6 linked regions of the Coturnix japonica genome follow. The protein of the gene in region 4 interacts with the protein of the main gene of each other region in a pairwise test. Links are inferred from orthologs where the notes say so. Each region holds a gene or a part of one and is shown on either strand. Other genes may lie near its edges.

Region 1 (5,229 bases), on a different chromosome or scaffold from region 4:
AAACTTCCTCTAGGCCATTCAAATCATCAATCAATTCAAAACATTTTTGAGTCTTGGAACACTGGCCACAGGGTCGTCATAAAGCAGGAAGGAACAACTTCAAGCCTATCAAGTTGATATATGCTTGTTCTTGGTGGTAAAAAAAAAAGTCCTAGAAAATCCAGTGAGATGCAGGACGGCTTATTAAAAGCTATTGTTTGACGAGAGGCAGATTTTGCTGGTGGAAGTGTGCATCTAAGATTCATGGAGGTAGTGACAAAGGCATGATGGGCAAGAACTGGGAATATAACCTGTGTGTTTCGGAGAAGTGCTTGTTGTAATATGATGCAGAAGCTGAATCTGCTAAGTCAGTAAGGAAGGAAGCCAGAGTATATCTAAGTGAAGGGCGCAGGTATCAGTAAAGGCTCAAAAATGATGAGCTAAAAGAAATAATCTATACTTTGACAGCTGATGTTCCTGACAAACTCTATCCAGCTCCCCCAGGAGTAGATATATGAACCCTAGTGCCTTTTCCAAAGCCCAACCTCCTAGAGGTAATTGTGATCTGCCTGAGACCTGCAGCCTGCTGCTGTTCTCAAACACATTTTTCTACTCTGCGTTAGATGCTCTAAAAAGCTTCAACAATTATACTGTTACAGACTACTTGGCACTCACCCAGCCCAAAGGTGACTGCATTTCTAGCAGTAGAGGAAACTTCAGATAAAGAAAAACATACTCACTTCAGTGAAGGCCATAAAGTGAGTTTACATTTGTTGTAGTTTTAAGTGACTTAAGCCCTAGAAGTCTGAAATAAATGTGCATGTGTTTTAATAATGAAAGTGCTGTGATTATACTCTAGTTATGAAAAATTGAGGAAAAAAATCAGGAAAAAATTAAATGAAATGAACAAGTATGGTAGTGTAACAAGCCAAGGTAAACCAAGTTCCTTTCTTCCTAGGGTTTTTTACATTCCTGAGAGAAGGAATTAAGAGACTGAGTTCTCCGTTCTGCTGTATGCTTGCCATTTTACCTCAAATTGTTGCAACATAGGCTTGTGACACAAAAGCCTAAAAATTGCTTAAGTTAATAATAAGACAGGAAAGCATGTTGATTAGTTACCTTGCTCGGTTATAGCAGAGCAGGAATTAGATATAGACTACACTTTATTTGCCTTAGCAGTTTAATCTCACTGTCTGTTGCCATGCCTAACCTGTACAGAGATGAATGAAAAGCTTTCTGATGACCTGAAATACAGCTTCCACCCCCAATGCAGTAAATCTGCAAACTGGAGCTGTGTTTCATTAGATGTACTTTAAGGGTTCTTTATTTTTCTGCCCTCATGAGTTCAGTGGACATAGAATCCGATATCTCACTATCATTTCCTAGCTAGCTGTATAAATATAGTTAAACTGCATTTACTTGGGGTTGCTGTTTAGCTGCATTTTGTTTCGTAACATGCTCGGTTATTTCCAGTCCTCCTGACTTCAGTGGGAGCCTCAAGCTCTCACTTTTGCAAATCAGGCCTGCTTGTACCTTTGCTTTGGTCACTTCTGCTGTCTCTTTGGCACTCATCCTAGGAATCAAAGTGACCTCCTTGCCATCCCCTTATGCACTATGCAGAAGCAATGGAAAACCACTGCCACTTTTTCCTAGACTGGTATCTTTGACCATGATTCAGTGACATGCAGGGATATGGGAGGAGGATTCTTCATCTGTATCCCCTGGAGCTCTCATCACCCAGATGGCCCCATTTCCTCCCCTGCAGCCCATAGAGGTGTCTGCCTCCAGACCAGCCTTGTCTTGTCATGGTCTATGGAGATCAGAGCTAGGATGGAGCAGGGAGGAGAGGGACAGGCATGTCCTTGTGGATGCGGCAGCTGGGGCTGACAGTAACCACGTATGGCTTGGTGGGTTGATCTGCCATCCCCAGGCTTCACCACAGACCAGCCTCTCCATCCCCACCTCCTCCCCCCCACCCCCTTTTCAGCTGGGAATGAAACCAGCAGCAATTACTCAAGCCAAGCACGTAAATCTGGCAGATCCCATGGCCCTCATTTGACGCAGCTACGCAGTGCAATGTCTGGACGCCCAACCCACTTCCCTCATCCCCTCTTGTTTATTTGCCCTGCAGAAAACAGCAAAGTTACCAACTTTGCCAGCAGTGAGCTGTACCAAGTGGAGAAGGAAAGCGGGGTGCCAGGGAGCAGGAAGGACAGGGGAAGAGGAACGCCAGGGACAGGGATGCCAGGGTCAGGAGTGCGAGGTGGGTTTGCCTGCATTGCATGAGGAGCTGAGCTGCCCCGACTCAAGGCTGCAGAATGCCCGGGGCCGACCCTCTGTGGTTGCGGGGATGCCCTAGGGGCTGCCGCTGGTCCGGAGAGACCCCGCGGACCAGGTGTTACATAACTCCCGTTTCCCTTGCACCAATGCCCTTCCACCAACCGGCCGGGTGGGAGACAGGCTGAAGAGCCGCTTAATTTCAAGAACCGAAGCTTGTAATTATTATTGTTTATTATTATTATTATTATTATTTCTCCCACTTTGCGCTTCGACTTGCCGAGAAACCCCGCAAAGCCCCAGCTGTTTCAGCCTGAGGTCCCGTCCCGGAAGGAGCTAGCAGCTCAGCTATGGGCTCGCTTCCCTTGCGGCAGGGCAGAGGCTGCCCGGGGCTGGCTGCCCGGGGGGGGTGCGGAGCCGCAGGGCGCTGCAGCGAACCCGCCTCCGCCTGCAGCGCGGCTCCAAGCCCGGGGCGCCGTGGCGCTGTCCGCGGTGCTGAAGACGGACGCTGTCCGCTGTGCTGACGGACGCTGTCCGCGGTGCTGAACCGCCTCCCGTTCCCGCAGAGCCGCAGTACTCCCTGCTGACCTCCCCCCCGGCCTCCGTCCGCGGTGCCGAAGCGCCGCCGCAGCCCTGCGCGGTGCGGTGCGGTGCGGGAAGGGCGCTGCAGTGCCCTGGGCGGCTGCAGCCCTGCGCGACCCAGCAGAGCAGAGAGCCCCGCAGCACCCTGCTCCCAGTACAGGTTAGAAATGCGCTGCTTGCCCTTCTCCTCGGGCTCCCTGCCGCCTTCGATCGTGCCCGATACAGCGGAAACACAGAGCTCGGTTCCCTCCCATGGTTCCAGCCGGCGATAAGGCTGGCGGCGGCATTACCCCCCCTCTCCTCGACTTCCTCCATCCCTGTAGCAGCCCAGAGACAGGAGACAAAACGCCGAGCGCGTCCCCCTTTAAACAAATCCTTTTTTCGCTTCATTTTCGTTCATACAGCCCCCTCCCCTTGCTCAGTCGGTGGCCCGGTGGTCTCCCGCCCTTACCTCGGCTTGTGCAGCGCTCCGCCGGGCCGCCTCGGCGGGGTTGGTGTCTCGGTGCCGCAGCTGGGAGGCAAGGACAGCCGCTGCTGACCTCCTCGGGTCTCCTTCTTCAATGGACCGAGAGCCGTGCCCTCATCAAAGATGGCCGTCCGCTCCTACGTCAGCAGCTTTTAATAGCCCTCCCCGGAGGGGGGGGGGGAATGGGGGAGGCGGGAGCGGGCGGGGGGCAGAGCGGGCCGGGCGGGCGGGCTTGAGTCATCACCGCCGCCGCCGCCTCCCGCTCCGATCTCCTCGCCCCGCCGACAAACGGCCCCGCCGGGCCTCCTCCGAGCCTGGGGGCCGGGGGCTGAACCGCCCGGGGAGGGGGGAAGGGGCCTCCTGCAGCAACATGCCTCCGCCAAAGGGGTGGTCCGAAGAGGGTATCCCTCTGAAGTCCCCGGTACTCCATATATGGCCAATCTACGTGGGCTTCTATTTTTATGTGTGAATTCTTCCTTCTCTCCCTCTTTTTATGTTTCAGAGCATCCTGCCACGGGTCTGAGTGTGTTAATCTGATTATTCCCCTTCTCCTCCCCCCTGAAATAAGAGCACACAAACGCAAGGAAATCCACAGATAAGGACATGTGCTATAACCGATCATTTGAGAGACAGGTTTAGAAAAGGGAGAGAGAAGGGGGGAAAAAAAAAGCCCTCACAAAAAACCCAGGCATGTACGTGCATACATACAGCACAGAGAGAACAGACCGCTGCTGCCAAGGAGGAAAGCAGTGACTCTGTTCTGGGAAAAAGCCTGGCTTATTTATCATGGATTAATTAAAATATTTATTCAGAGCTTACCTAATTTGGAGCAAATGGAGCTGTCTGTAGTGTGATATTTAATGGAGAGGAAATCCTCTCATTTGTTACAAAACATCTTTCTGTAAAAGGTATCTCTTAACGGAGATTTTAATGAAGGATGGGGATTGCATCTGAAATGCGACACTCTTTCATAACCTCAGTTATCCCTTCCCTTTCATTCCACAAGCCTGCGCACGTTCGTGTATGGAACCATCCAGACCTACCCATGAGCAGAGGTGCCTCCGTCTGAGCCTCTCTTGTGAGCAGTCACTGAGCACTGGCTATGCTTAACTCTGACACTGTGCTAATGGCTTTTCTAAATAGTCTGCAGATGACGGTGTCAAAACATCAGTCTCATATTAGTGATAATTCTACCCTAATCATTATGTCTTTTTTTCCCTTATTGCCATGGCAGGGAAGACCGGAAGAGGGGGAAGGCTCTGCAGCTGTATTTTGGAGCACGTTTGTCTCATGTTGTGGTTGTATGGGGGTGGAGGAGAGAAAGGGGAGGGGAGGTGCGGGGGGGGGGAAGGAGAAAGAACTGCGGTGATTCCTCCTCCCCTGCTCTGTAGTTCCCCATAGAAAAACGTGATTGTAGATCGTGCTTTGCAATTCTCACCCTCTCCTACGAAAATATGTCCTTCAGTCTCGTTTGGAAGGAAGCAGTCAAAAGTTTGCTAAATATACAACAAAGGAATTCTCAGGGAAGAGGGGCTTCCTGCTGCAGTAGAGTATCTGATGAGCTGTGCACACAAAAACCGCAGGGAAGGAGAGAACCTGTCAGACTTAAGGGCTGTAAAGGCAGACAAGTAGAGAGAGATCAACGCTGTGCAGACAGCCCCCCTTCTAGGTGAGGGATCTGGATCAGCACCTTGAGCAGGACCTGGATTTAGCATCATAAATGACAGTATGGAAAGGCAAACCTTTTCTGCTCAACTCATATATGGGTTAACAGTAGCCAGCACTCCAATTAGGTATGCACTGCAGAAAGCAAGAGGAATCCCAGCGTGTGTCTCGGTCTGAAATTCAGGCAGTCCATGCGCATGCATTGTGCTTTGCAAGTTCTTAGTACACACAGAAAGTTAAGAAGAAATTTTCAGACAGCT
Region 2 (5,189 bases), on a different chromosome or scaffold from region 4:
AGCCCCAGAGAGGTGGAAACTGGAACTCACTTTTCTGCCATGCAAATTAGACTTGAACTAATGCTGAGTGCATTAAGCTCCCAAAGACATTTGGAGATCATAACATAAAATCTGGTGCTATCTTGTGATCTAGATTATTATCTTTTCCACAAACAGTTCAGTTCTGTTTAATAGACTATGCAATTGTCCATGGTATTATCTTCCAGAATATCTTACCTGGAAATTACTCTGTTAATCTGACTTGAAAGTAATAACATCCTCAGGAATTTCACAGTCACTGAGATGAATCTGTAAATACAGCAAATAACTAGTTTGTAGGAAAGTATTTAGTAATCTCACAAATAAACATGCAAAAACATTCAACTGACAAGAAACTACACTGGTGTCTGTAAGTATTAAATAATACTGAGAGCATTAAAAGTTTGCTATCCCTCTGAAATGCAATTTCTTACTCTCTCACTAAGCTCTCAGAGTTGAAGGAAAAAAACAGCATATTTTTTCCATTTCTGGAAAAACCCGTCTTTCTCAAAATGCCAGACCACCTCATTAGTGGAAGCCTTGGTTAGCTTATAGATAGCTGGCAGAGGTGTTTTGTTGTGCTTGTTTCCACTTCATTTTTTCCCCCCACCATTATGAGTAAGTAGAAGTAAAAGCACAGTTTTCATTGCCTGTAATGGGAGCAGAATGTGCTTTTATTTCATAGTCATTTTCCATTCTTCTCCTGGCAGTACCTGGAAAATCACGTGAAGAGAGATGCGACTGTGAGGTAACTTGGTGGTGAAGGCTCCAGAAGCCAACACTAAATGCAGATAACATATTTTTGACTAACAGTGCACATTTACAGCCTCTGACCAGAAATTAAAGAGTACTGTTATATGGAGAAGTCATTAACTGATATTTAAAGCTGGGAAATAGAGGAAGTATGAGGAAACCGAAAATGTAAGGCCTATATTTAACATCTCTTAACTTCAAACTGACCAACTAATGGGGCAAAGCCTTGAAGTTCATTTATAGTGGAAGAAATGAACATGAGACCTACGTGATTAATGCATCTTCTCCTTGAATGTAAGGCTTACGTTAGAAGAAAGCCATGCTGCTTTTGCAGTGTTTCAGAACTGCTGAAGCCAGATCATGTCCTCTCCAGATTCTGGATTAACCAAGGTTCAGACTATACAGCAGAACAGGTCCACAAAAACTTCAAGGCTTTTTTACCAACAGATTTAACTTGTGTCATGGTTAGAAACAGAGTTCATAACTAGTTAGGCTTGAATAGTTATCACAGGTAATGATGCATGGGAAGGAAAACATGCAGTGCTGGGAACATAATTTTCAGGGTCAACTTCAGAAAGCCATACAGTTTTATCTATAGAATCAGCAGAGAAGCAAGCATGCAGCCTGGCATATAAAGGTCATATTGAAGCCACTCTTCAGACATCTCCCTAGCTGGGTGTTGCTGAGCCTGGAGCTGAGCTGTGGCTTCTGCAGCCACCGGCAGGAATAGGGTGCTCTGCCTCCAGGCGGGGCCCACACAACTCTGGCAGATGCCAAGGGAGCAGAAGGCATTGACACCAGCACAAGGGTCCTCAAGATCTTCCAAGAACGAAGGCAGAGAGAGTAAAATAGAAGTAGCTGAGAGATGATACAGCTGCTTTGCAGAGTACAGCCACAACAGGAGCTGTAATCAGAGAGAAAACAGCGTGCCTGTCTGAAATGCTATTTCTGCTTTATTGTGTAAATACAGGAACTATGACTTCATGTCTCACACTTCAAGAGACATACTCTCAGGCTTGTTTTCTTCCATATCTGAGCTCTAAGACATGCAAAATGTGTCTCTGTATTTCAGTTCTGGCTGGAGGTTAATCTCTAGAAACAAGTAATGTAACATTTCCATCTATCTTTTCTATTCTTTTGGCGGTTTTAATTACACTAATATACTATGACACTTTAAACAAGACACATCTCAGCTTATGGCCTGCTCTGCAATGGTTCAGCTGCTGTGTGTGCTCCAGCACATTTTGCTCAGACAGGCTGCTGCAGGCTGGGGGTGCAGAATAGTGCCCTTCTGTCATGAGAGATTTCATTGCACTGATCATTGTGTATTTGACAGACTCTTTGTCAATGTCAAGTGTCTTTTGTGGTTAAGCCCAGTAAAGCTAAAACAAAAGGTCTCCTAGATATTAGATATATAGTGACATTACTGAATTCACTCGGAGGCAGTAATTTTTTGTCAGCCTCTGAAAAGAAAAATGGAGCTAATGGGAAAACAAAAGGAAGATGCTGGCATGTCTTTTTAGCTATTTTTGTTTATGTCAGACAGTGTGATTGACATCTGGCCCAGAACACCCTTTCAACCACCGAGGCTGATGTCATGAAACAGAACAAAGAGAAACTGCCAGGCAAGAAAACACTAATGGCTCAGAAAGCACTTTTTTGGGTTTATTTTCTTTTAAGTGTTTCATTTTCAGTAATCAGTATCACTGCACAAAAGTGCACTCATAGGCACCCCCTCTTACTATTTGGACTTCTAAGTTTCCTTTGTGTTTGCTTTCTTCCTTCTTGCCTGAATGGCACCACAGTTCTGGTTTGGTTGGTTGACAGTCTGTCATAACAGTGATGTTTGAGGTTAGTGAAAACTGACATGAAAAATACAATCCACTGGCCTTTAACTGAAATAGCAGCTCTGTTTTTTTGTGGAGTTGGCAGGCAGCATTTTTAAACCCCTTTCACGGTGAAGGCAGTTACAACATGTTTTTCTCTGTATCAAGCAGTTCCATCATGAAGTGCATTATCTACATCTGTTGTCATATCAGGATACTGCCTTTGAAGAGCAGTTTACTGTTTCTTGTGAGATCACTTCTGCTGAAGCACCCTAAGAGGGTTAAGGAAATTTCATGGTCATTCTCCATTGCCAGGCCCATTACAACGCTTTAACATTTATTTAAGAGAGTTTTAGAAGTGTCAGTGACCAGAACAGCTCCTGCAGACACACAACACCACAGAGACTTCTGCATTTGCTCGCCACTTTGTCAAAATAGGAAGAATCCCAGTGTCCCTCTAATATTGTCTAGAGTCATTATATACATTATAAGCATAATGTTCGCATTCTGCAAGTGCTGTAGATTTTGATGTACTTAGTCAGCGTTATGTGCTAGCAGGAGGAAATTATTCTCTAAATTTTTAACTTTGTCTTGAAAGTATGATGCTAAACATAAACCAAATGACTACGAAAAAAAAAAAAAAGCAACAATAAAACATAAAAGAAAGCTTTTGGCAAGACAAGAGCAGGACATTTTATCAGCTATTTAGGTACAGTTACATTCTGAAATCATTGGAGAATTCTTAACAAAAGAGATCTTAATCACTTTAAAAGATTCCAAGGAATTTGGCCTTTGAATGCATCAGGTGTGCTGCAGCTAAATATCCCTGCACCTTTTTAATAGGGTTTACTCCAGTATTTAATGCAGAGCTATATTCTCCTCTAGAAGCACACACTTAACTCCCCCCAGCACTAATAACAGATATGTTCACACATCGAGTGGAGAATTTTCTCTCTGTCTTTGCACAGTGTTCTAAAAAGAACTTTGAAGAAATTGAGAAAAACAGAAAGAGAAGTATATTAATTTTAAGGAGATGAAAGCACCACATGTCATTCCTAAATTTCATGGAAAATGCTCCGTTAGTAACAAAGATGAGCAGAAAATTTCAAAATCATTTTGAGCAGCATTAAAATCAGTCCTCCCTGATTTTCTGTTTTCCCCTTCTTTTCAAAGCACATACATTAAACTCATTTTATGCTTATAATGTATATAATGATTCCAGACAACATGAGAAGGACATTGGGATTCTTCCTATTTCGACGTATAAAGTGGCAAGCCAATTTATGCAGCTTAAACCATTGCTAAGGAAGATGTATCAAAAAATGCCTGTGATCATTACAAATAACAGCCTGAAATGTTCACAAGAAGCTGTTTGCTTATCATATTTTCATTAAAACATCTTTTCACCTGCTTTGCTTTTCCCATGCCTGTAACCTGCATTGTAATCAGTCTTATTAACTGAGAACATAAATATGATTTATTATAGTCTGATAATGGAAGCTGCATGGACCAAGAGAAGGGATATATTGTCCTTTGATAAAATGGCTCTTTTCTCTCAAATAGAGCTCTATCATGAGAGCATGCAGAATGTAGTGAGTGATTATTTCCTGAGGGTGAATGATGGCAGAACCCTACAGAAAATCTTCTTGTTGGCCATGACAGCCTCCGAGTGTCCCCAAATCTCACTGAGTTTGACAACCTGCAGACACTTTTGATGAACTGTATTCTTCTGTCAGAGACAGCCTGTCTGGGAGGAGAAAAGGGAACCTTTATCGTCTGATCTGCTATTATTGTCTTGATCTTTTATAAGCAATCTCTAATGCACATGAATATAATATCCTTTCACACAAGTGCCAAACATAATAGAAATGTAGTTTAAGGACCTTTTTCCCAGTTATGTAAATGTCCTAGTGCCATAATTATAAAAGATGGTTTGTGAATGATAGCTGTAAGGAAAGGATAATGAAAATGTTTTAACATTATCTTTCTGTTTTAAAGACCAAAACCTGTGATAAATAGCATTTATGGTACATATGGGGAACCAGTTTGTGCTGAAGCTTTTACCTAAAAAAGAATAGTTTTGAGCATAAAACTGGTGTTATATTTTCATAAAACACATAAATGGCAGCTGATCTTAAGCCAAGAATGATCACTGGCAGATATGACTTAAAGAAAATGAGTATTCCACTCAAAATCCTTCCATGGCTGTTACAGACAGAACAAAGCGTTATTATTGAGCAGTGTATTTGGACAAAGGGGTGTTCAGGACCAACTAAAGTTCACCAACAAATCTCTCTTTTATCTATGTCCAGAAGAACAGGCATAACAGAATCTTTTTCAATTAACAGCTGTACACATTAGCAAAACACCCGTCTTTCTCAGCTGAAGCGGTCTGGCTTATTTATCACAAAAACAGAAATGTTTGGTGGGAAGCTTTCCAAGTTTCCCAGTAAAGGCAAGATACTTGATTTTCATTAACCTTTTGAAATCTGGAGGTGGGGCGTCCCCCTATTAACTACTAATGGTCTTTTGCATTACCAATTGGTGTTAAGAGAAGTCCCAATTGTCAGAGTCAAAAGGTTAATCAGCAAT
Region 3 (4,617 bases), about 51 Mb from region 4:
AATGTCTAAAATGCTCCGCAGCTTCATAACCCTGACACTGATAAACCATCTGTAGTACTGAGAGCCTGCATTCTTCAAAACAAAACAAATCAAATATTCACCTGGTGGAGGGCCAGGAGGGAGGCCAGTGGGTGGCCCTGGGGGCCTCAATGGAGGGGCTGGAGGTGGTCCTAGTGGAGGTGGCCCAGGCATAGGAGGTGCCTGTATCTGACTTGAAGCAACGGCTTGCGAAGATTGCTGCTGTGTTGAGGCTGCAGTAGACGACCCAGTCTCTGCAAGAGCTTCCTCACTATGTTGCTGCTGCTGCTGCTGCTGTTGCGATGTGTCTTCAGACTCTGAGTCTTCTTCATCCTCCTCCTCTTCTTCTGAATATTCTTCCACTTCCCTCCCTTCTTCTGGGATTTCCTGACCTGGAAACAGACACGTTAATAAAATCAGTCCACAAGTAATAAATTTGGCAACATAAAACACTAAATAAGAATGAAAAGAAATTCCCCTCAAAGGAATGAAAACTGATTATACTAATTAATATACACAAAATGCAAAAAAAAAAAACAACTAGATAGTTCTGCTTTCCTGTGGGAACTAAAACTTCTATTAATAAATCTGAACTGCAGTTATTTGAGTTTGTGGGAGATAAAACTTTTAAAATAGAAAATATCACAGATTATTTATTCCCCAAAATAGACATAACCACCACTTCCAAGAAACCCATCTTCTCCCAGCTTCCTTTCTCCTCTCCCCTCCACCCCAAAAAAGATACAAGTGTTGTCTTTGTATCGATTTAAAATGAAAAGTCTTGACTCCATCGGTTAATACCTTTCTTCAGAAGGATATTTTTAGGAAGTATTAAACCCTGCAGATAACAGTCTGAGCGCACTAGGCTAAAAATAATAATCTAAATTAAAACTAACCACATCTTACGTACATTCTTAGTAGATTTTCAAGTATGGCAGTAATGCATTTACTTCTACAAAACAGACTGTGCAAATTAAGTTCACCAGAGAAACCTCATCTGCAAATCTAATAGCATGCTTCCTCTCAGTGTATCCATATCACCGACCTGCCATTCGTAACATCATGGCCTGGAGTGGAGTCAGTTCTTTCATGTTCTTTTTCTTCTTCCGTGATTTCCCAGGCATGTCTGCAAACCGTACGCTATGACCTGGGGAAAGCAAAGCACAAACAAAAAAAAATGGGCAGTGGGAACAGAATAAATCAGTGAATATAAAAATAAGATACATATTTATATAATATATGAAAACATTAAGATGAATGTACACATGAAATACACATGGAAGTCTTTCACTTGGTACAGAAAATACATCATTATGACATAACTCTTATTTAGGGGCATCATTAAGAGCCGTCTTCTTCCCAATGTTTTTGGTAACCTAGGATTTTCTGTCAATTGGACTTCTTTTAAACAATCAAGAGACATCATTCAAAAGCATTAATAGTGCACCCATCACAGAAGTACTATTCAAGTCACCAAAGAATGAGTATATTTTAGAGTAAGGCTTAATTTGTTGTGGGATCTTTTGCTCTTTCAAGGCTTCAGGTGACAAATCTTGCACATTCAGATACTTCACATTCATCAATAAATATATTCATCAATAAATAATTCTTCAGCTGGAATTTCAACGAGCCAAAACAGAATTCCTTGTCTAAACAGACTACTTTTTTCTCCCTTCCCCACAGTAAGGAAAACAAAGACTGTTCAGTAGTACTTTTCCTCTGAAAACTCAAAAGTCCAACCTGTAAATCCCCATCATACCTGATTTCTTTTCTTCTCCGCCTTCCCTCTCCTTGTCATTATCACGATGTGGGAAGTCATCACCTTCACTGTCTGCATCTGACCTATCACTGTCACTATCATCACTACTCTCATCATGCTTGTCTTGATCCATATCCTCAGGATAGCCTTCATCCTCACTTGTACTGGACATATCATCATCATGCCCTCGCTGTCCTGTGAAAAGCAAAGTATTAAGACAGACATGAACTCCAAGCACACTGGTGGGAAAGGCAGAATATTTTAAGTTCACAGTAAGAAGAATCTTCCTAGCAACAGAGTGAGCAATGTATTGTCAATCCTTTGCTATTTAGCACACTCTTAAGGAGTATTCTGGGGAGAATGCTGGTAAGATTTCCTATTAACAGTTGATTAACTGGCAGTAAATAAGTGAAGGGAACTGCAATATACAACTTCCCCCTCTAGAAATATTTCAGTCCTTTTAGGTATGCAGTAAGGCTGATCTACCCATTCATAGAAGCTTGTATGGAAAATACAGTAACTGTTTGAAAATGTATCCCCAGTTTTGGTGCTAGGACTTTTGTTTGTTTTCCTGCGTTTTATAGCAAGGTGGGGGGAAAGATTAATTCTCTGCAAATATACATATTGTCTCCTTAAAAAGAGAGTAAAACACATTTCTGCCTTGCTAAGACAACGTAGGAAAACAGTTTATGCAACATAATGAAATCTGCAAGCTGTAAATAAAAGATACAGCATTTAGAAATAGACTCAATAACAAAATGGCAGATGTTACGAAATATATCAAAATGAGCTCAAGATTGCAAATCACACAAAGAGTTCTTCTAGTAAAAACATTCAGATTACCCAGACGATACCTTATCTAGAGCGCACAGTGCTCACAGCAGTACTATCAACAGCAAGAAAGAACCCAGAAAGAGATAGGAAAGTCCTTGCCTGGTTCAGAACCATAAGAAACGTCTTCCTCTCGCCTTCGAGGAGCCATCTCCAAAGCAAAACCCACTTTACGGCCATACATCTGTAGGACTTGTGGTGGGGGTGGCCCTGGAGGAGGTCCTGGGGGCTTCCTGCCAGGAGGTAAACGTGGAACACCAAGCCCAGGAGGGGGAAGCATAGAAATAGATCGAACCGGTGGTCTGCAATTAAGACAGAAAATGGAAACCAGGGAAGTCACAAACAAATACAAACAGCTTATACAGCAAGTTGGTGAAATCAAACTACTCAGAAAAAAATATATATTTTTGCATAGGAAGTGCTAATACTAGCTAATACTAGCTTGAGGAGCCAGATACACAAATAAAGTAGGAGTTTAAACTGAATGTATTAACAAGACAAAAAACCAAAAAAAGCCACGTGACAGTTTAGGGGGCATTTATGTTCAAACAACACAGCAGGGCTTTAAGTTTGACCAATAAACAGAAAGACAAGTGCTAGAAGGTACAAAATACAACCCAAATCAGTTTAAACAAAAACTGTAACAGGAAGGAAAGATTAAGGTTTTTCACTTAAATCAAAAAAAAAACCAAAAAACACACAACAAACCAATTCACACTCACAGAACTTCCAATTTCTGCTACTCAATATTACCTCTGCTTCCAACCCCAGCTCTTTCCTAGTAAAAAAACATTTCCTGTTTTCCTTTCCCCTCCAAGCATCCTTTCCCTCTTACCCATAGGCTGATGTTTTCTTGAGGATAGAAGGTGGCTGGGCCCCAGGAAGGGGAATGTCTTGTATAAGGATGTTGGAGGGAGCATGAGGCATGTCAGGTAAAGGGATACTTTCCACTTCAACATGCTGAGCGTTCTGGGAGAGGAAAAGGCAAAAATAAAAACTGAGTCACTTCCACAGAAGTTACTACACAGTCTCACTATCTTTAAGAACACCTGACACATGGGACATGCCATCACTTGCCAAAGGTCTGTTCTGTCCCCGAAACAACAAAACTGCAGACAAGTCTGCCTACACCTCCTGAGAACCCAAAAAGCTTAAATCACAGGCTCTGCATGTTCCAGAAGATTTTAAATACTTGCACTTGTGTAACATTATATTCTTCCATACAGGAAGAATTATGCAGAAAGGTCCTCAAATAAATGCCAAATAACTATTTCCAGATCCAGATTTAGCAGGAATGCTAACCGCACATTCATATGTTCTCTCTCTCCTTAATTCACAAAACAGATTCTGATGTTGATCTGATCAGTTTTCCCTTTTCCCTTTAATCTATTGATAAATTAAATCAATTTAAGAGAGAGAAATACAGACTTCTCATCCTCCACACCATCTGGAGTTACTAAGCAACCTAGTACGTGTGCCTAATATTAACTAAATATTTACTGGTCCCTTATAAAGGCCTTTCTTTTCAAACTGTTGCACCTAAAGAGGAGTACATAGTACAGTCACAAGCCTCAATACTACAAGCATTACCTTGACAGCATCAAAATACTGGCTGAGTTGTGCTCTCTTCTGCTCATACTCCACTTCCAACTTGCGCAGTTCTTTATAGATGTCAGGATTCTCCTTCTCATAGAGCCGTAAGATACGCTCAAAAGTCTCACGGAGCTTTTTGCGTTTATCCTTTAGCACCTTTTCATTAAGCTGTGGCTGCTGCACTGGGTTAAACTCTAATCGAAGACAGCAAAAGCAAGCCAAAAACTCAAAAGTTACTCTACTTTACAATTAAAATTAACGAAACAACTTCAAACCAAACCACTTGCAGTTCGTATTTCCAGTAAGTCTGCAATGTTAAGACCAAAAGTCACTAATATAATCATTACTCAGTGTTTGACTACTATCTCCAACACCCAATACCTCCCTTACTCACCCATCTCATCCAATTTTTCCAT
Region 4 (5,128 bases):
AAATCCTCCCGCTGAAGGTTTATTCTCCTCCCCCCATTACTAAAGGCAACACAAGCACTTGTTTTATGCTGGTAACTCCCGATGATTATCCTCTTCCCTCTCCTCAAACCACTGTCGAGACTTTCATTTAAATTCTTTGGTTTTTAACCTCTTCTATCACAGTATCACAGTCTCGTGCGGGTTGGAAGGGACCTTAGAGATCATCGAGTCCAATCCCCGGGATTCGAGCCTCTGTGTAGCAGAGCGGCACTTCTACCACTTGTGCCACAGGGGGATTCGAACCCGGGCAGAAATGCTTATTTTTCCTGGTGTTATCCTACCGAAAGCTAAAATTACAATCTATGCTTACAGCACAAAGGTAGATTTGTCATCACCATTCACAGTGATTTACTTGCTAGATTCACATTCTTTCCTGAACCCAAATCTAAGCTAATTGCGTGATTAGAGGTATTAACAAGCAAGTATGCACATTTCCCACCAGCTATAACTACAACAGCAGCAGACAGAACAGGCACTGAGGGTCACTGGTTTATTTGGAGACACCGGCTCTTGCTTTACTGTATCTCAATAGTCATTCCCTGGGCAACCTGATCTAGTAAATGTGTATGTTTGGTGGCCCTGCCAGGCAGGGCGGTTGGAACTACATGATCCTTGAGGTCCCTTCCAACCCGGGTCATTCTGTGATTCCACCAAACTGGGATACAAAGGAAAATTAAAGAAAAAAACCAAAACTCTTCTAAAAAAACCAACTTATCTTACTGTCTCCGGTTCCAGATATTACAGTGGGAACAGCAGAACTGCAAGAATTTAATTCGTGGTTTGAGAAGGAGCAAGTGCAAAGAGCAACCAGCTCGGTTCAGATGAAGCCTGAGCCTAACGAACACACTGGAGAAACTGTTCGGAAACAGTTCATCTGTACGAAACATGACCCCTGTAAGGCTGCCAAAAGCAGTCAGGGCATACAAGTGCTAATCACGCGAGCTCCAATGGTCCAAGCTGATTGCCTAAATGTGGATGACCGTCTAGATTAAATGTAAAGTTAATGCAAAGAAGGCAACCAGTTTCCTTACAGCACATCTTACCCCCCCCCACCCCCCACCAAAGACAAATACACCCCTGGCTGCTGCAGCTGGGAGCCTGAATATAGCTGATATAAGGCTCCTCCTTCAATATCATACCCTCCTAATGGGGGCTTGGGAACAGCAGCACACGCATTTCACAATGGAAAGAACTCGGTAACCAAAGCTCACTACGCTATATACAGCATCAGGTTGTAAGCATTGAGAGAGGTTACAGGTGACTAGAAAGAAAGGGCAGAAGAAAAGATTAGGGCCAAGTGTGCAACATCACTGCACAGTCCGATACTCTCCAGAGCCATCAATATGGACACCAAGAGTTTGTTTATTTGACTGAGGAGAAATTGCACGTATCTGGAGGTTTCCTTGAAATACTTTTGTGTTAAAATACTTAACTATCACCTTAAGCATATATTGCCATAGGAGATATGAACAAGCAACGTACCTTACAGCTATGGGACAGGATCCTGAATTAGAAGGGACCCATATCACAGAATCACAGAATGACCCGGGTTGGAAGGGACCTCAAGGATCATGTAGTTCCAACCCCCCTGCCTGGCAGGGCCACCAAACATACACATTTACTAGATCAGGTTGCCCAGGGCCCCGTCCAACCTGGCCTTGAACACCTCCAAGGACGGGGCATCCACAACCTCCCTGGGCAGCCTGTTCCAGGACCTGACCACTCTCCTAGTGAAGATCTTCCCCCTAACATCCAACCTAAATCAACTCCTACAACTTGGATCCATTTCCCCGTGTCCTGCTATTATCAGCCCTTTCGAAGAGTTTACTCCCCTCCTGGGTGTAAGTTCCCTTCAGGTATTGAAAGGCTGCAATGAGGTCACCCCGCAACCTTCTCTTCTCCAGGCTGAACAAACCCAACTCCCTCAGCCTGTCCTCATAGGGGAGGTGCTTCAGCCCCCTGATCATCTTCGTGGCCCTTCTCAGGACCACTGAGTCAAACTGTGGGCTCCACACAGCACCACCCAAAATCAAACCCTACATCTGAAAGCTTTGTCCAAATGCTCCTTCAACTCCTGCACTCGGGGTCGTGCCCACAGCCCTTCACCTTTGGTGAAGAACCTTTTCCTGACATCCAATGGGGGAAAGAATGGCATAGGAGAACATGCTGTTTCCTTGCCCTAAGGAGCACCGCACCGTCACATTCGGGATACCACTTCTTTTAACGGGAAAAAAAAGTATTCATTCAACAAACGCTCCCTTACTCACATCCATAGAACCGGTTTCCTTATCACAACACCCACGCCCCACGGGGAAAGCCGAGTTCAAAACACGAGCCGAATCACCGTTCCATCCCAAATAACGGAGAGGCTGAATCAGAACAAAAGGAAAACCAACCCGGAAAGTTACCGGCGGCAACCAGAAACGATGGACGGAGCAGCGCCGTGCTCCCCCCGCAGTCCCTCTTCGTGAGCAGAGAGACGCTGCCCCCGGCCCCCCCTGCAAAGCGAGGCGCGATGGCTGCCGTATGACCGAGCCGCGCACACGCCAACCGGCACCGCATCGCCCCGCTTCCCAACGCCCAGACACCGCCGCAGCGGGGAGAACAAATAAAACATAAATAAAATAAATAAATAAATTTTAAAAATAAAAGAGAGGAAAAAAAGATAGATAGAGAGAAGCCGGCGGGCAGCGGCCGCTCGGTGGGCTCCAGGCACCGCGCGGGGGACACGGAGGACGAAGGGGGCAGCGAGGCGCGTGTCAGCCCGGCCGCATCGGGCGGAGGCGCCGCGGGGCCGGGGGCAACGCCGACCCCACCGCGACGGAGCGAGAACCGGCGGCTGGAAGCGAGGCGGTCCCACCCCCCTCAGCCCGTACCTCATATCTGCGCGGGCCGCCGGGCCCCGCTCACACCCATGGCGACGGCGGGGGGGATGGAGGAGCCGGAGCGGCGCCCGCCACCGCCTCCGCCAGGCGCACCATCCCCTCCCGCTGCCTCCTCAGCCGCCGTCTGCCGGGCGCTGAGGGGAGGAGCCCGCACGGCGCTCGCCCTCGCAGCCGCCGTAGTGACGCGCGGCCGCGGCCCCGTGACGGGCAGGAGGGCGCCCACTATCAAGGGCTGCGAGCGCCGCGCAGACTCCGCCTCCGCGCCCAGGGGGTCGGTGTGAGGCGAGGGGAGACGGGGACGAGGGCGGCTGGGCCCGTTCCCCACACGGCTGCGGTGGGACGCACCCGAGGGGCGGGGAGAGGGGCGGGGAGGCGCGGCTTTGTGCTGCGGGATCAGTTCAGCGCCGCCTCGTTCTCCTCGCTGCTGGCTGCAGCGTGAGCAGAGCTACGGCCCACGCCTTCTCCCCGCCGGAGGTGAGTGACGGCTAACCTAGCCAATCGTGTTCCCGCTTTCACGCCGAGCGTCCAATCGCGAAGCTGCTCGCTGCGGCGGGGCGGAGCGTGAGGGCGTGACCCGCGCTCTCCAGAGGGTGCCGAGGTGGGAGCGCGGCGGAAGCGACGGTTTGTCATGGCAACGGGCGGCTGGGCGGCGGGAGCGGGAGGGAGCGGCTGTGTCTGACGGGCAGCAGCTGCGGGTGGGGCTGGAGACCCGGCTGTGCTGGTCTGGGGGGCTGGTGTGGGAGCCGTGTGGAGATACTGATGGGATACCGGGGGTGTTGGGCGGCCCGAGGGGCGGGTACCCGGAGAGGGACAATAGCAGGACACGGGGAAATGGTTTTAAGTTAAAGAGGGAAGACTTTAGGGTTGGATGTTTAGTGGGAGTTCTTCACTAGGAGAGTGGTTAGGCCTGGAACAGGCTTGCCCAAGGAGGTTGTGGATGCCCCGTCCTTGGAGGTGTTCAAGACCAGGTTGGACGGGGCCCTGGCGGCAACCTGATCTAGTAAATGTGTATGTTTGGTGGCCCTGCCAGGCAGGGGGGTTGGAACTACATGATCCTTGAGGTCTCCCTTCCAACCCGGGTCATTCTGTGATTCTGTGATTCTGTGAAGGGCGCTTGGTTGTGACAGAAATGACTGTGGTGGGCCCAGGTGGTGTGTGCGAATGTGATGCCGGGCTGTCTCCGTGTCTGTCTGTGCTTTCCTTCCCCACGGAACCTGAAGAAAGCTGTTTGCAAAAAGGTTCTTCTTTGTCTAGAGCAATGTGTGCTAGAGGAGCTGGGAGAGGAGGGAAAAAACCCAACTTGTGATTCTTGTTATGTGCGAGGTTCCTGGTATCCCTGCAGCAGTTTTATTTCCCCTTGTGCTGCCTTTATCTGAGCTACTCAAGCTGTATTCCTTTCAGCTGGGTGGCAAGCTCCCCATCTACTGCTGGGCTAACACATCATCCGTTGCCTTCTGCAGTACATCTCAGTCCCCACCATTTGCTGCACTGTTGTCGATGACATTGAGACAATGTGTTATAGGGTAACAGTTGAGGCATTGGCACAGCTGCCCATAAAAGCTGTGGTGCCCCTTCCCTGCAGACGCTCATGGCCAGGTTGGATGGGGCCCTGGGCAGCCTGAGCTGGTGGGGGGCAGCCCTGCCCACAGCAAGTATTGTAGAGGTGTGGACTTTGAGGCCCCTTCCAACCGAGCCACTCTATGGTTCTGTGATTCTATCATGCTTTATCTGTTCTAAAATTTATTTGTAAGACTCATCGTGTCTCTGTTGCTTGCAAACAATCGTTATTCTGGTTAGAAATTAATGTAATGCTTTAGTTGCTTATTTTCTCTGTACTTGCTGCGTGATTACAGTTACTGTGTCCTTTTTCCAGGTCACCATGAAGCCTTGTATTGTCAGCAGAATTCATCCGGAGAGGAGTGACCTTTATCTTCCAGGAAAGAGTGAGTTCTGATCATAACGACACAATTAATCATTCAGTGGAAGAAGGGAGTGAAACTTAAAAGGACCAGTGTTAGCCTTGTGCAGGCAGGTAAATGAAGGTAGGAGATAAGTATTTTACCATCATGATGCAGCACTTGGCAAGGGCTGTGCTACGTTTCTGTCTGCAGTTTTGCTGTCTGCAGTTTAAGAACAGCTTTTATTGCATTGCTGCAAAGCTGGAGTTCATTTGTTTTATACTCCCATTTCTTGAGTGATTTTTT
Region 5 (5,157 bases), on a different chromosome or scaffold from region 4:
GCTCCCGGGCGGCCCCGGGCAGCGCCGTGCGGCATTACGCGGCGGGCAGCGCGCTGGCCGATCCCTTGGGAAGCGTCGCAGAGCCGCCCCCGAGGGACGCCGTGAGGGCCGAAGGAGCTCCTTGGGCAGCATTATTTTTTTTTTTTTTTTGGCAGAAACATAGAGTTACAGTGTTGTTTTTTAGGGGGGGGAGGAAGAATTGGTGGGATTTTTTGTTTTGTTTTTTGCTGTTGTTGTTCGTTTTCTCAGTTGCTCTCCCGAGGTGCCTCTCCGACAAGGGTGCAATGAAGTCCCCTAGAATAAATGGCCAGAGGAGTCTTTTCTGAAGGCGCGTCCTTGAGATCGGGAGGGGAAAGCGGGAGCGAAGAGCAGCTGTTGCGGGGCCGCGAGGCAGCACGCTGGCGGCTCGCGGTGCCCGGCCGCCGTAGTAGCGAGCGGCTCCTCCGGTGGTTGGGCTGGGGAGCGCTGGGCTCCTCCTCCTCTCCCCCCCAAGCCGTGCACAGCCGGGTATGTGGCTGATTAGTCTCCCCCCGTCTCTTTTTTTTCCATGGGTATACACACCGAGACTCGCACATGACAGTACTTCGGCGCGAGAGCCGTTGCATCGCCAGGAGGGCTGTGCTTCCACTCCTGGCACGCATACACACACACACACACAGATACACGCTACTGCTGCCGCCGCTGCTGGAAGTCTTTCTACACAGGGATTAGCAGCCGCCTGCGTCCCTCTCCCTGTCTTTCTTCTCCTTTTCCTTCCTTCTCTCCTTCCTTCCCACAAACGCTTGACTAAAGGACGGCGGGCAGAAAAAAGGTAAATGCTTGCGTGCGTGAGTGCTGTTTGCCGACAATAGCGATGGGTGATCGCTTCCCTGGCAGCGCGCTGCGCGGCTCCGCTCCCAGGCAGCAGGCTGCCCTCCTGCCGAGCCGGCGGCTGCCGCTCCCCGGGACTCTCCTCCCGGGGGATCGCGTTGGCTGCGAGAGGTGTCGCTTCCCCAGCCCCCCCTTTCACTTCCCCCCCGGACGTGGAGGTAAAGGTTGCCTCTGCTTTGCTCCTGAGCGCTTGCCACCTCAGCCTGGCAGTGTGGGGGAGTGCCGAGCGAAAGGTTGCGCGGGATGAAGGTTGCTATTAATCGCCGGGTGCGCGGAGGAGAGAGAGCTCTTTTCGCTTCGGCAGGGAACCCGTGCATTATTAATCAGGGCTGGAGAGTGGCGACGGAGCACGAGCCCTACACCGATTTCTCCCCCCGCCCCCCCCCCTCCGTTTGCTGCATCATTCAACAGAGTAATTTCTAGCTGGCCTCTCGTCGTGGGGCTTTTCTCCCACTATCCTTACTGCGGGGATATCGGCGGACGCCGGGGGTAGCCCCAATAGGGGCGATCCTTCTCCTGGTCCCGGAGGGGGAGCGAGGCGAGGGCACTCAGCGCTGCCTGCGGCGACCCGCGGGATACGGGCTCCGTGCCCCAGGGTCCCCGGGCGCCGGACGGGCTGCACAACTACTTGCCGCCTGTTGTTGCGGCCGTTTGTCCCGTGTCCCTCCTTGGCAGGAGAAGCAGAGTGAATTTTTGCCCCTTTTCTCCCCACCTCTAGCCAAGCCGAGATGCGGTGCTGTGCGGGTCAGCTCTGGCCAAAGAACCGCGAGGCTTGCCCGAAGCCGGGCTGCAGCAGCTACAATCTGGCTTCCGTTCAGCGGGCTCTCTCCATGTCGAGAGGGGAAGGGATGGGGGCGGCGTGAAGGAGCCCACGGTGTCGGACTGCCTCCGTGAGGATGGCAGGGAGGAGGAGAACGGTCGGCCTTAAAGCTGGGCCACTGCCGTGCCTCAGCCGGCACTCCCGAGGCGACGGGCAGCCCAGTGGGTGCTTAGCGCAGAGCCGCCAGCCCGCGGAAGTATTGAGGCGCAGGTGTGGGCGTTTAGTGGCCGAGAGAGGCGGTGACAGCAGCGACAGCAGCCCAGGAGGGGTTAAAGCTCTCCCTTGGGAGCTCCGGCCTCCCCTGGGTACTGCTCTCCGTGCGCTGAAAGGGGAGCGTGGGGATGGGGACACGAGCAACCCCTCTATCCTCAGTCCCTCCGAGAAATGAGGCGTTTAGCAAGGTCTGTTATATAATTGCGTCTTTTTGGTGTCATTCTTATTGCAGCCAGCTCGGGATGCCGGCAAGGAAAGTGTTGTAGCATGCCCGTTTTTGTAGCAGTTGATGTTGGTGCGAGAGCTGGGAGAAAATTTATGGAGTGATTAATATTTAACAGGAAGTACTTCAGTGTTGTACATGATTGATTTTGGGTAATCCCATTTCATTCAGGTTGTTTTGTACACCTGTTAGAGATACATAAACGTCGTGTTAAGGATAGAAAGCAAAAATAAATAATAAAAAGTAATAGAGGCAAAAACGGTGAGAAATGTTGCTCATCTGTGGAGTTAATTATATAAAAGAGTTGTTTAACCTTTTAGCCTACTTATACACACAAGGTAGGTGGGCTTGTAGGCACGGCGTGCGCTCTGCTGGTTATGTTGGATTGTATTTCAATATTAATGCACCTTTAAAAAGGCAACGCTAATTTGAGCCGGTATGGGGAGGCACTTGTGGTATTTCCCCCTCTCCTAAAAGAGCTGGGTTTGGTTGGTGTTCCCTCATCTGAATAATGACAATGGATCCAAAAGCCCAAGTGATATTCTGAGAGAAATGTGTTGATAGTAATAACAATTATGAGTTGTTGTATTTAAAATGTGATCGACAGAGTTCCTTATTTTCTTTTGTGTAGCCTACCTGTCTGTCCGATAATATGTATTTCAGAACTATTGAAAGTAGATATTGCAAGGTAATGAAAATGAATGGGAGCAATGTGTGCTGCTAATTAGGGAGGTCATCAGTTATTTTCACAGTGTAGGGTACAACAGTGTTCTGCTGTATGTATCCTTCTGAACTAAAGCTGTCTTTCTTCCTCTCACTAGAGCTGCCTACATTGAATATATGTGCTTAGGAGCTTATTCTGGTCTGTTTCTTAGGGAGTTAATGCTTGCATGCGTATCAGTATGATCTCTGTTAGATGTTGCCATGCTGACTTTCCTGTAGAGGTAGGTGGTGCCTCTCAGTGTAGCTTTAGCTAGCAGTGTTGCCACATGGAAATACAAAAAGAAAAGCATGAATAATGAATGACCTAGTAAAACCCAGAGTCGAAAGGCAGTAGTAAGCAGCCTCCGTGCTGTGTTCTCGTTTTGTTGCAGATCTCACTCCAGGCTCATCCCAGCCGGTAACTCAAGTTTCCACCCAAGCTGTAGAAGATAGGCGCAACGACCTCAGAGGGCATTGCCGTTTTAAGAAGATGGAGCTCAAGGCACTGGAGCATGAGATAGTTTATTCAGCCCTTAACCTCTGTAACCAAACTTAATTTTTACATCCTCTGTTGTATTATCTCTCAAGATTTAAGAAGGCTGTTCTTGCTGGGGACACGGAATTAATACTTGTTCTCCTCTTATTCCAAATTTTGCACTCGTGCACGAGGCTCATCCAAAGAAACCTGAAAAAGGGATCTCCATGGTAACGAGAGAGAGAGATTTTTCTCCCTCACCATAGGTCAGGATGAGACGCCTACCCGTTTGTTAACTTGTGGCAGCGTTTGTTGGCACCTTTCTCTTTGTGGTGACTTTGTCTGCTGGGGTGTGCTTTTACTGTTGGCTCATGCTCCCAGAGCATGGCTCTTGAAAATGGTGTTACACCAGTGCTGAGCACAGTCCCTGCATCTCTCCCACTTTCACCCTTCCCTTCCACTTGCATCACAAGTGGATGAACTTCAAAGTTCTCATGCCTGTGTGATTTGGTTATGGCATCTGAGGAAATAACCTGTTTTTGCTATGAGGCTATTGACTTGAAGGCCTGTTTTGGCTCTCACCGTATGAAAGGCACAACCTTATTTCTCAGTCAATCTCAGAATGAAGGGCAGTCATTTCTTTCCTGTCTCTTTTATTTGCCTGTGTTCTTTTTAGTGTCTGCAGAGGATTTTGTGGCAGCAAATCCTACCAGGGATTAGCATTATTTTGTATATGATACAATCGCTAATAGGGAATGTTGTTTTCTATCATAATTTTTTATTATTTTTAGGTGAGTTGTACTTGTCCCTTTTTATTGTTGTTCTGTTATCTTATTTGTGTTTTATGTTATTTGAAGAATAGTCTGCATATGCTGTGTCCCAGTGCAAGATAAGGTGAAATGAATACTTTCTGACAACAGGAGCATCAGGAATAGATAGTTATAACTTTCACTAAGGAATAGGGCATATCTTCTGTTCTCCTCTTCCTTTCTGTATTCATTTATCATAGCTAAGATCTCATGAGATGAGACCAAATGACTTTTTAAATGGTTCCCTTAGGCTGCTGATGCACCAGGTTTCTCTGGGCATATTTCCAGTTCTTTTGCCTTTCCCAGTGACATAGCTTGGGATAATTTGAAAACAACCATCTTAATATAAGACAGCAGACATCATTTGTTGCTGGGCAGTATGTCATTTGTGACTGTAATTGGAAGACAGATGCTAATGCTGATTTTAGCCTTCTTAACTTGCCTCATTGGCAGACTGTCTACAGAAACACTTCACTGTGCTTGGAAATCATGCAATATATTCCTACCTTTCTGTATTCCTGTTTCTGAAAGAATTGCCTATGCTATTTGAGAGCTAGTATGCTCATAATCTGGCTTGCAATGTGAATCTGACTTAATGTGTATTTTCAGTGTCTTCTACCTGATGTAAATAATTTTGCGAGAGTAGCCTGTGTAGCTTCTTCCTTCAATCTTTGTATACAAGAAACTTCCATTACCTTTCTACATGATGTTTTGTCCCTGTATTGGTAGTATTTCAATGACAATCATTCAGCTCATTTCATTCAGCTTTGAAAATGGGGGTTGGGTTTTTGTGTGTCTGTTTGTGTTGTTTGTTTGTTTTGGGTGGTGTTTTTCTTAGCCTTGCAGGCTGGCTTTGAGTGTAGGCTGCAGTAACTTGTGCTGATGTGTAACATAGAGGTTTCAACTTCTTAACTGTTGTGCCAGTGTAGTAACTGTATTGAATCTAGGCAAGGATTCATTGAGTTTTCCTCTATTTTGTGAAAAGGAGGAGTTTAAAGTGTTAGGGATGCCCAAAACATCAGTGTAAGAATTGTGATGAAATTTC
Region 6 (4,617 bases), on a different chromosome or scaffold from region 4:
GAGAGTGTCAGCCAGCAGCTGTACCCCACGGGAAGCCCTTTCCCCCCATAACATGGCTCCCATGATGTGCTGCCACCCACCCTGACAGCAGGGGATGGCCCGCAAAGCACTCACTTGATGCACTTGATCCACTCCTCCTTCTCCTCAGGTGTGGGGGCTGAGATGCGGTACACGGTGTGGTTCCCCTCCACTACCCGCCCGTCTGCCTCCGTTTTGCACGCTTTGATCACCTGGTCCTTGTTGTCAGGGATGTAGAGCTCAAAGCAGTTCTGCAGGGAGGAACCCCTTCAGACACAGCCCCCACACCAAGTGCAGTGGGGCACCCTGGGCTGGGGGAGGATGGTGCAGAGCAGTGGGGCTGCACACCCAGCACAGCAGGATGGGGCCATGCTGTGACATCACCCCACAGCTGTGTCCTGCCACCACAGTGGGGCCCTCTGGCTTTCCCTATCCCACCCTCCAGCCTTGCAGGATCCTGCCGGGCACTCACGGGTTTCTTGGAGTCCTCCACCTCACGGATGCTCAGGTTCTCCAAGGGGATGATGCCACGTGGCTCTTTATCCTGATGGGGCCAAGCAGAGCTTGTCATTACAGACACCTCCAACCAGTGCCCCATAGGAAGGGCTGAGTGCTCCCAGCACTCTGTGCTACGTCTGCATCCCACACGGCCATGGGACCCCCGAGGGTCCCCAGCCCCCATGTAAATCACTGACCGTCGTGTATTCGAAGTAGTAAAGGCAGTTGTCGGTCAGGATGAACCAGCGCCGCTTCCACGTCTTCACCCTTCCTCCTGGGAGCAGAGAGAGGCGGTTGGGGGCAGCCCTGGTGCTGCTGCATGGCACAGCATGGCACGGCACGGCACGGCAGTGCTGCAGCCCAGGCGGACGCACACAGACAAGCAGATGCAGGCAGCCCGCAGCGCAGAGCAGCAGGCAGCACACAGCACGCCGGCAGGGCGAGAGCATGAGCGGAAAGCAGACGGATGAGGATGGAGGCAGAGGGAGGTGGGAGGGCAGGGATGGGAGCACTGCCGTGCCCGCTTACAAGCACTGATGTGCGGCAGAAGGAGCTGCAGCTCCAGCCCTGCAGCACAGCCCGATGCCAAGGCAAAGCAGAGCTCGGTGCTGCAGCATGCGAACAGTGGCTGGAGGGAGCTCTACACCCAGCACTGCCATTGCACATTGCTCCCCCCCAGGCTCAGAGTGCTGCAGTGCTGGGCCTGGCTCTGCCCCCGCACCCCCACACGCTCCAAGCACCAGCTGCTCTGCTCAGTGCTGCTGTATGGGTGCCCAGGCCATGCTGCCCACAAAGAAGCAATGTGTGCAACGAGGGGAATGTGCTCATTTCCTCTCTCCCTGTCCGGCTCTGCAGGGAGATCCCTGCCTCATATCCCCCCCCATCCCACCCCACTGCCCACCCATTAACCCAGCCACAGTCAGTGCCCGCTCCTGGGAAAGGCTGCACACCCCATTCCCTGCCCCACAGCCAGGCAGGGCCGGCATTTCCCAGCAAAGCCCCCCTGCTCCTGCTCACCTTGAGCCGAGCCCACCCCACAACCCAAGGAGACTTGATGCCCTCCAGCCCCCACCAAGCCCTCATTGCAGGCTACAGCCTCACCAGGTGACAACATGGCAGGGCTCTGGAGGAGGAACCGTGTGGCATTGAGAGCCAGCACAGCCCTGAGGCTGCCCAGAGTGTGCCCACATGCTGAGCCAGGGCAGCACTTGTGCCCAGCACCAGCACAGCCATGAGCTGCAGCACTGCACAGCGCCCTGCACCCAGCCAGCTGCAGGTCCTTCCTGAATGCCCTGAAACACCACAATCCAAGCCCCATCCCTCACGGTACTGGAGGCCACGACCCTCTGCGGATGGGTCTGAGGACACACCAGTACCAATTGTCCCTATGATGGGACCGAGGGCAGCAGAGGGAACCAGGACACCTCGGGGAGCATTCGGCATCGGAGGGACCAGCAGCCACGTCCCTGCCCTGGTGGCTGCGGGTGCGGGGCTGTCCCCTGCAGGCAAGGTCCCCCCGGGCGGTGCGGTGGTTAGCAGCAGCAGCAATGAGACTAATCGCCAGCGATTAAAAACGAAAAAGAAACGAAGCCCCCAGAGGCATGAGCAGAGCAGGGGATAAAAGGGGTACAGGGGATAGGGGTACGTACCTCCTGGAGTTGGGGGACAAGGAAAGGAAGAGCCAAAATCATGGAAACATACAAATGAGGGAGAAAAGAAAATTAAAACAAAAAGGAAAAAATAAAATAAATAAAATAAAAAAAAAAGAGGAAATCCCGAAGAACCCCCCTCACCCCGCACAGAGCCGTGTGTGTCAGCGGGACAGGGCTGCAGATGGGGAGCTTTGAGGGGATGGGCCACGGCACCGCTCTGCTACACTATCGGTGTCCTTGGCTCTGAGCAGCCCCCACCCTCATGCTATGGGACCCTTCTACCAGCAGAGCTCCGGGCTCTATGGGGACACAAAGGCAGGGGTATAGGGTTCTTCATGGCCCTTCACACCCCCACCCCACAGCTAGGGAACACCTTGTTCAGTGCCCAGGCAGGGCTCTGTGTTGGTCATTGCAAGGAAAGGGATAAGGTCCTGATCCCATCTCGCAGGGGTGGCAACAGAGCAAAAACTCCCCCCAGTGAGAGGACAGAGCCCCAACCTCAGCAAGAGCCCAGGGAAAGGCCCTGCAGCCCCTGCTCCTGCCAGCACCCCCCCTCCTCAACCCGGGCAGAGGTCCCCAGGAGGTGTCGAGATGAGAAGCTGCAGGAGCCAGGGTGTGGGGCAGGGTGTGGGGCAGGGTGTGGGGCAGGGTGTGGGGCAGGGCAGGCTCGTGTCTGCGAGTGCCGGGCTGTGCAGCAGGGATGCCATGCACGCTGCCTGCATGTGGAGCCGGGATGCGGAGGTGATAATGCTGTGGGAAGGTGAGGCAGGGACAGCTCTGAGGCATGGAGGGGGACACGCAGCCCGGGGGCAGCTCGCCATTCACTCCTTGGGGCTCTGATGGGACCCTGCTGTGTCCCAGCGCTGTGCAGAGCACCCCCAGCTCTGTGATCTGACACCAGAGCCAGGTACCAGCTCAGCACAGCAGCCTCCAGGCAGAATCCCACTGGGAGCCCACGTGGCTGCAGCAAAGGGCCTCTCCAATAGCAGCTCTGCTCCTGCTGCTCAATGCGAGGCCGATGGAGGGACAGAGGTACGGACACTGTCCATGCGGGCTGTGCTCATGGCTGCAGCCCCTCATCTCTTGGCAGGGCTGTGCTCCACAGAGCCACGTGCAGGCAGTCTGTGGGCATCATACCCATGGCTCAGCCCAGACCCTGGGGCAGAGCACACCCTGCCCAGGCTGCACCCATCTGGTTGCCAGCACTTACCCAGCTTCAGCAGCCAGCCCTCCCGGTCAGGGTTGAAGAAGGTGTGTGTGAGGTCATTGCCATCATCCTCTGGGATTTTGAAGGGTTCATTCTTGATGCTCTCATAGAGATTCTGGTACAACCACACACGGTGTCACCTCTGTGAGCCCGCTGTGCCCCAGCCCTGAATCCTTGCATCCCATCCCTTACCCGCAGCAGCTCCTCAGGCAGGTCCCCCCCATCGTTGATGCCACGGTTCATGGCGATGAATCGCTCTGCTGTGGGTTTGTCCTTGACGTTGGGGTTGTGCAGGCTGGTGTTCAGCATGATGATAGCGAAGGAGAGCACATAGCAGGTGTCTGCGGGGACAGAGAGGACAGTCAGGTGCAAGGCAGGGCACAGAGCAGGGCACAGGGCTGGAGCTGTGCTCACCTGTGGACTGGAAGACGCCAGGGTTGCACTGGCAGTACCGCTGTGCGAAGGCCTCCATCATCCGATCGATCTTCTGTGCCTCTCCCGGCAGCCGAAAGCTCCACAGGAACTGCCTGAGGACAGCAGGCACAGCACTGCTTTGGTTGCATCCTCCAGCCCTCAGGGCCCTGCAGGGCACACAGCTCACAGCCCAGCCCAGCCCCACTCAGCCCCCGGCTCACCGCAATGCCTGGACGAGGTTGAGGTCCGTGAACTCATGCAGCTCCACGAAGGCGTGCAGGACTTGGATGTTAAACTCGTCCCTGCAGAAACAAAGCCAGAGCACGAGGTGTGTGTGATCAGCCCGTCCTGTGACTGCCGCATGGCCCCCTGCCCCGCTCTGCTCTCTGCACTCAGGATAGGGAACCTATGGCTATGGGCCATCCTATGGCCAGGTTTGCACGCAGCAGCCTTTCCAAGAGCCCAGCCACAGACCCTGGCACTCAGCAAGGGGCTGGCGCAGCCACTTGAAGACCCAGAGCCTGATGTCCTGCTGGGGGCCCTGGAGCCAGCCCAGCCCAGCAGCAACCTGCAAGGGTTGCACCATCTCCTCCTGCACAGGGACCGAGTTGCTCCAGGCCTTGCGTACCTCTCACCCAGGTAGTCTCCAATGGCTGTCTTGTTGAGGCCCTCTCCCTTGTAGAGGAACTGAGCAATATCCTCACACGTGTTCTTCAGCAAGTCGTTCTCAATCAGGAACTGGATGCCCTGAAGCAAAGCAAGAGGCATTGATTCGGGTCACGCTTCCAACCTTTATGCTATTCCCTTCTCCTGGCTCTGCTCGGCTCA

Evidence for each region.
Region 1: the proteins of ITSN1 (region 4) and SNAP25 interact in a two-hybrid assay, tested with the Homo sapiens proteins (2 studies listed by BioGRID and IntAct). The link is inferred for Coturnix japonica from reciprocal best matches to the Homo sapiens genes ITSN1 and SNAP25.
Region 2: the proteins of ITSN1 (region 4) and LMO4 interact in binary tests that used the Homo sapiens proteins (3 or more experiments, as listed by UniProt). The link is inferred for Coturnix japonica from reciprocal best matches to the Homo sapiens genes ITSN1 and LMO4.
Region 3: the proteins of ITSN1 (region 4) and WBP11 interact in a two-hybrid assay, tested with the Homo sapiens proteins (2 studies listed by BioGRID and IntAct). The link is inferred for Coturnix japonica from reciprocal best matches to the Homo sapiens genes ITSN1 and WBP11.
Region 5: the proteins of ITSN1 (region 4) and DLGAP1 interact in a two-hybrid assay, tested with the Homo sapiens proteins (2 studies listed by BioGRID and IntAct). The link is inferred for Coturnix japonica from reciprocal best matches to the Homo sapiens genes ITSN1 and DLGAP1.
Region 6: the proteins of ITSN1 (region 4) and CYTH1 interact in a two-hybrid assay, tested with the Homo sapiens proteins (2 studies listed by BioGRID and IntAct). The link is inferred for Coturnix japonica from reciprocal best matches to the Homo sapiens genes ITSN1 and CYTH1.

Annotation. Positions count from the first base shown.
Region 1 is NC_029518.1:11,888,694-11,893,922, forward strand, and holds the start of SNAP25 (synaptosomal-associated protein 25), read right to left. Parts: upstream 3,451-5,229; 5' UTR 3,290-3,450; intron 1-3,289.
Region 2 is NC_029523.1:13,757,787-13,762,975, forward strand, and holds the start of LMO4 (LIM domain transcription factor LMO4), read right to left. Parts: upstream 3,205-5,189; 5' UTR 217-3,204; intron 1-216. UniProt on the Homo sapiens protein: Transcription cofactor. Plays a role in establishing motor neuron identity, in concert with MNX1, acting, at least in part, to disrupt LDB1-LHX3 complexes thereby negatively modulating interneuron genes in motor neurons.
Region 3 is NC_029516.1:43,747,127-43,751,743, reverse strand, and holds part of WBP11 (WW domain-binding protein 11), read right to left. Parts: coding exon 4,596-4,617; intron 4,396-4,595; coding exon 4,199-4,395; intron 3,578-4,198; coding exon 3,444-3,577; intron 2,911-3,443; coding exon 2,711-2,910; intron 1,973-2,710; coding exon 1,778-1,972; intron 1,166-1,777; coding exon 1,064-1,165; intron 411-1,063; coding exon 102-410; intron 1-101. UniProt on the Homo sapiens protein: Activates pre-mRNA splicing. May inhibit PP1 phosphatase activity.
Region 4 is NC_029516.1:94,850,020-94,855,147, reverse strand, and holds the start of ITSN1 (intersectin-1), read right to left. Parts: upstream 3,109-5,128; 5' UTR 2,916-3,108; intron 1-2,915. UniProt on the Homo sapiens protein: Adapter protein that provides a link between the endocytic membrane traffic and the actin assembly machinery. Acts as a guanine nucleotide exchange factor (GEF) for CDC42, and thereby stimulates actin nucleation mediated by WASL and the ARP2/3 complex.
Region 5 is NC_029517.1:90,585,072-90,590,228, forward strand, and holds the start of DLGAP1 (disks large-associated protein 1), read left to right. Parts: upstream 1-1,905; 5' UTR 1,906-2,091; intron 2,092-5,157. UniProt on the Homo sapiens protein: Part of the postsynaptic scaffold in neuronal cells.
Region 6 is NC_029533.1:4,591,470-4,596,086, forward strand, and holds part of CYTH1 (cytohesin-1), read right to left. Parts: intron 4,537-4,617; coding exon 4,418-4,536; intron 4,092-4,417; coding exon 4,011-4,091; intron 3,903-4,010; coding exon 3,790-3,902; intron 3,717-3,789; coding exon 3,568-3,716; intron 3,491-3,567; coding exon 3,379-3,490; coding exon of another isoform or gene 3,378-3,378; intron 793-3,377; coding exon of another isoform or gene 791-792; coding exon 714-790; intron 563-713; coding exon 491-562; intron 270-490; coding exon 115-269; intron 1-114. UniProt on the Homo sapiens protein: Promotes guanine-nucleotide exchange on ARF1, ARF5 and ARF6. Promotes the activation of ARF factors through replacement of GDP with GTP.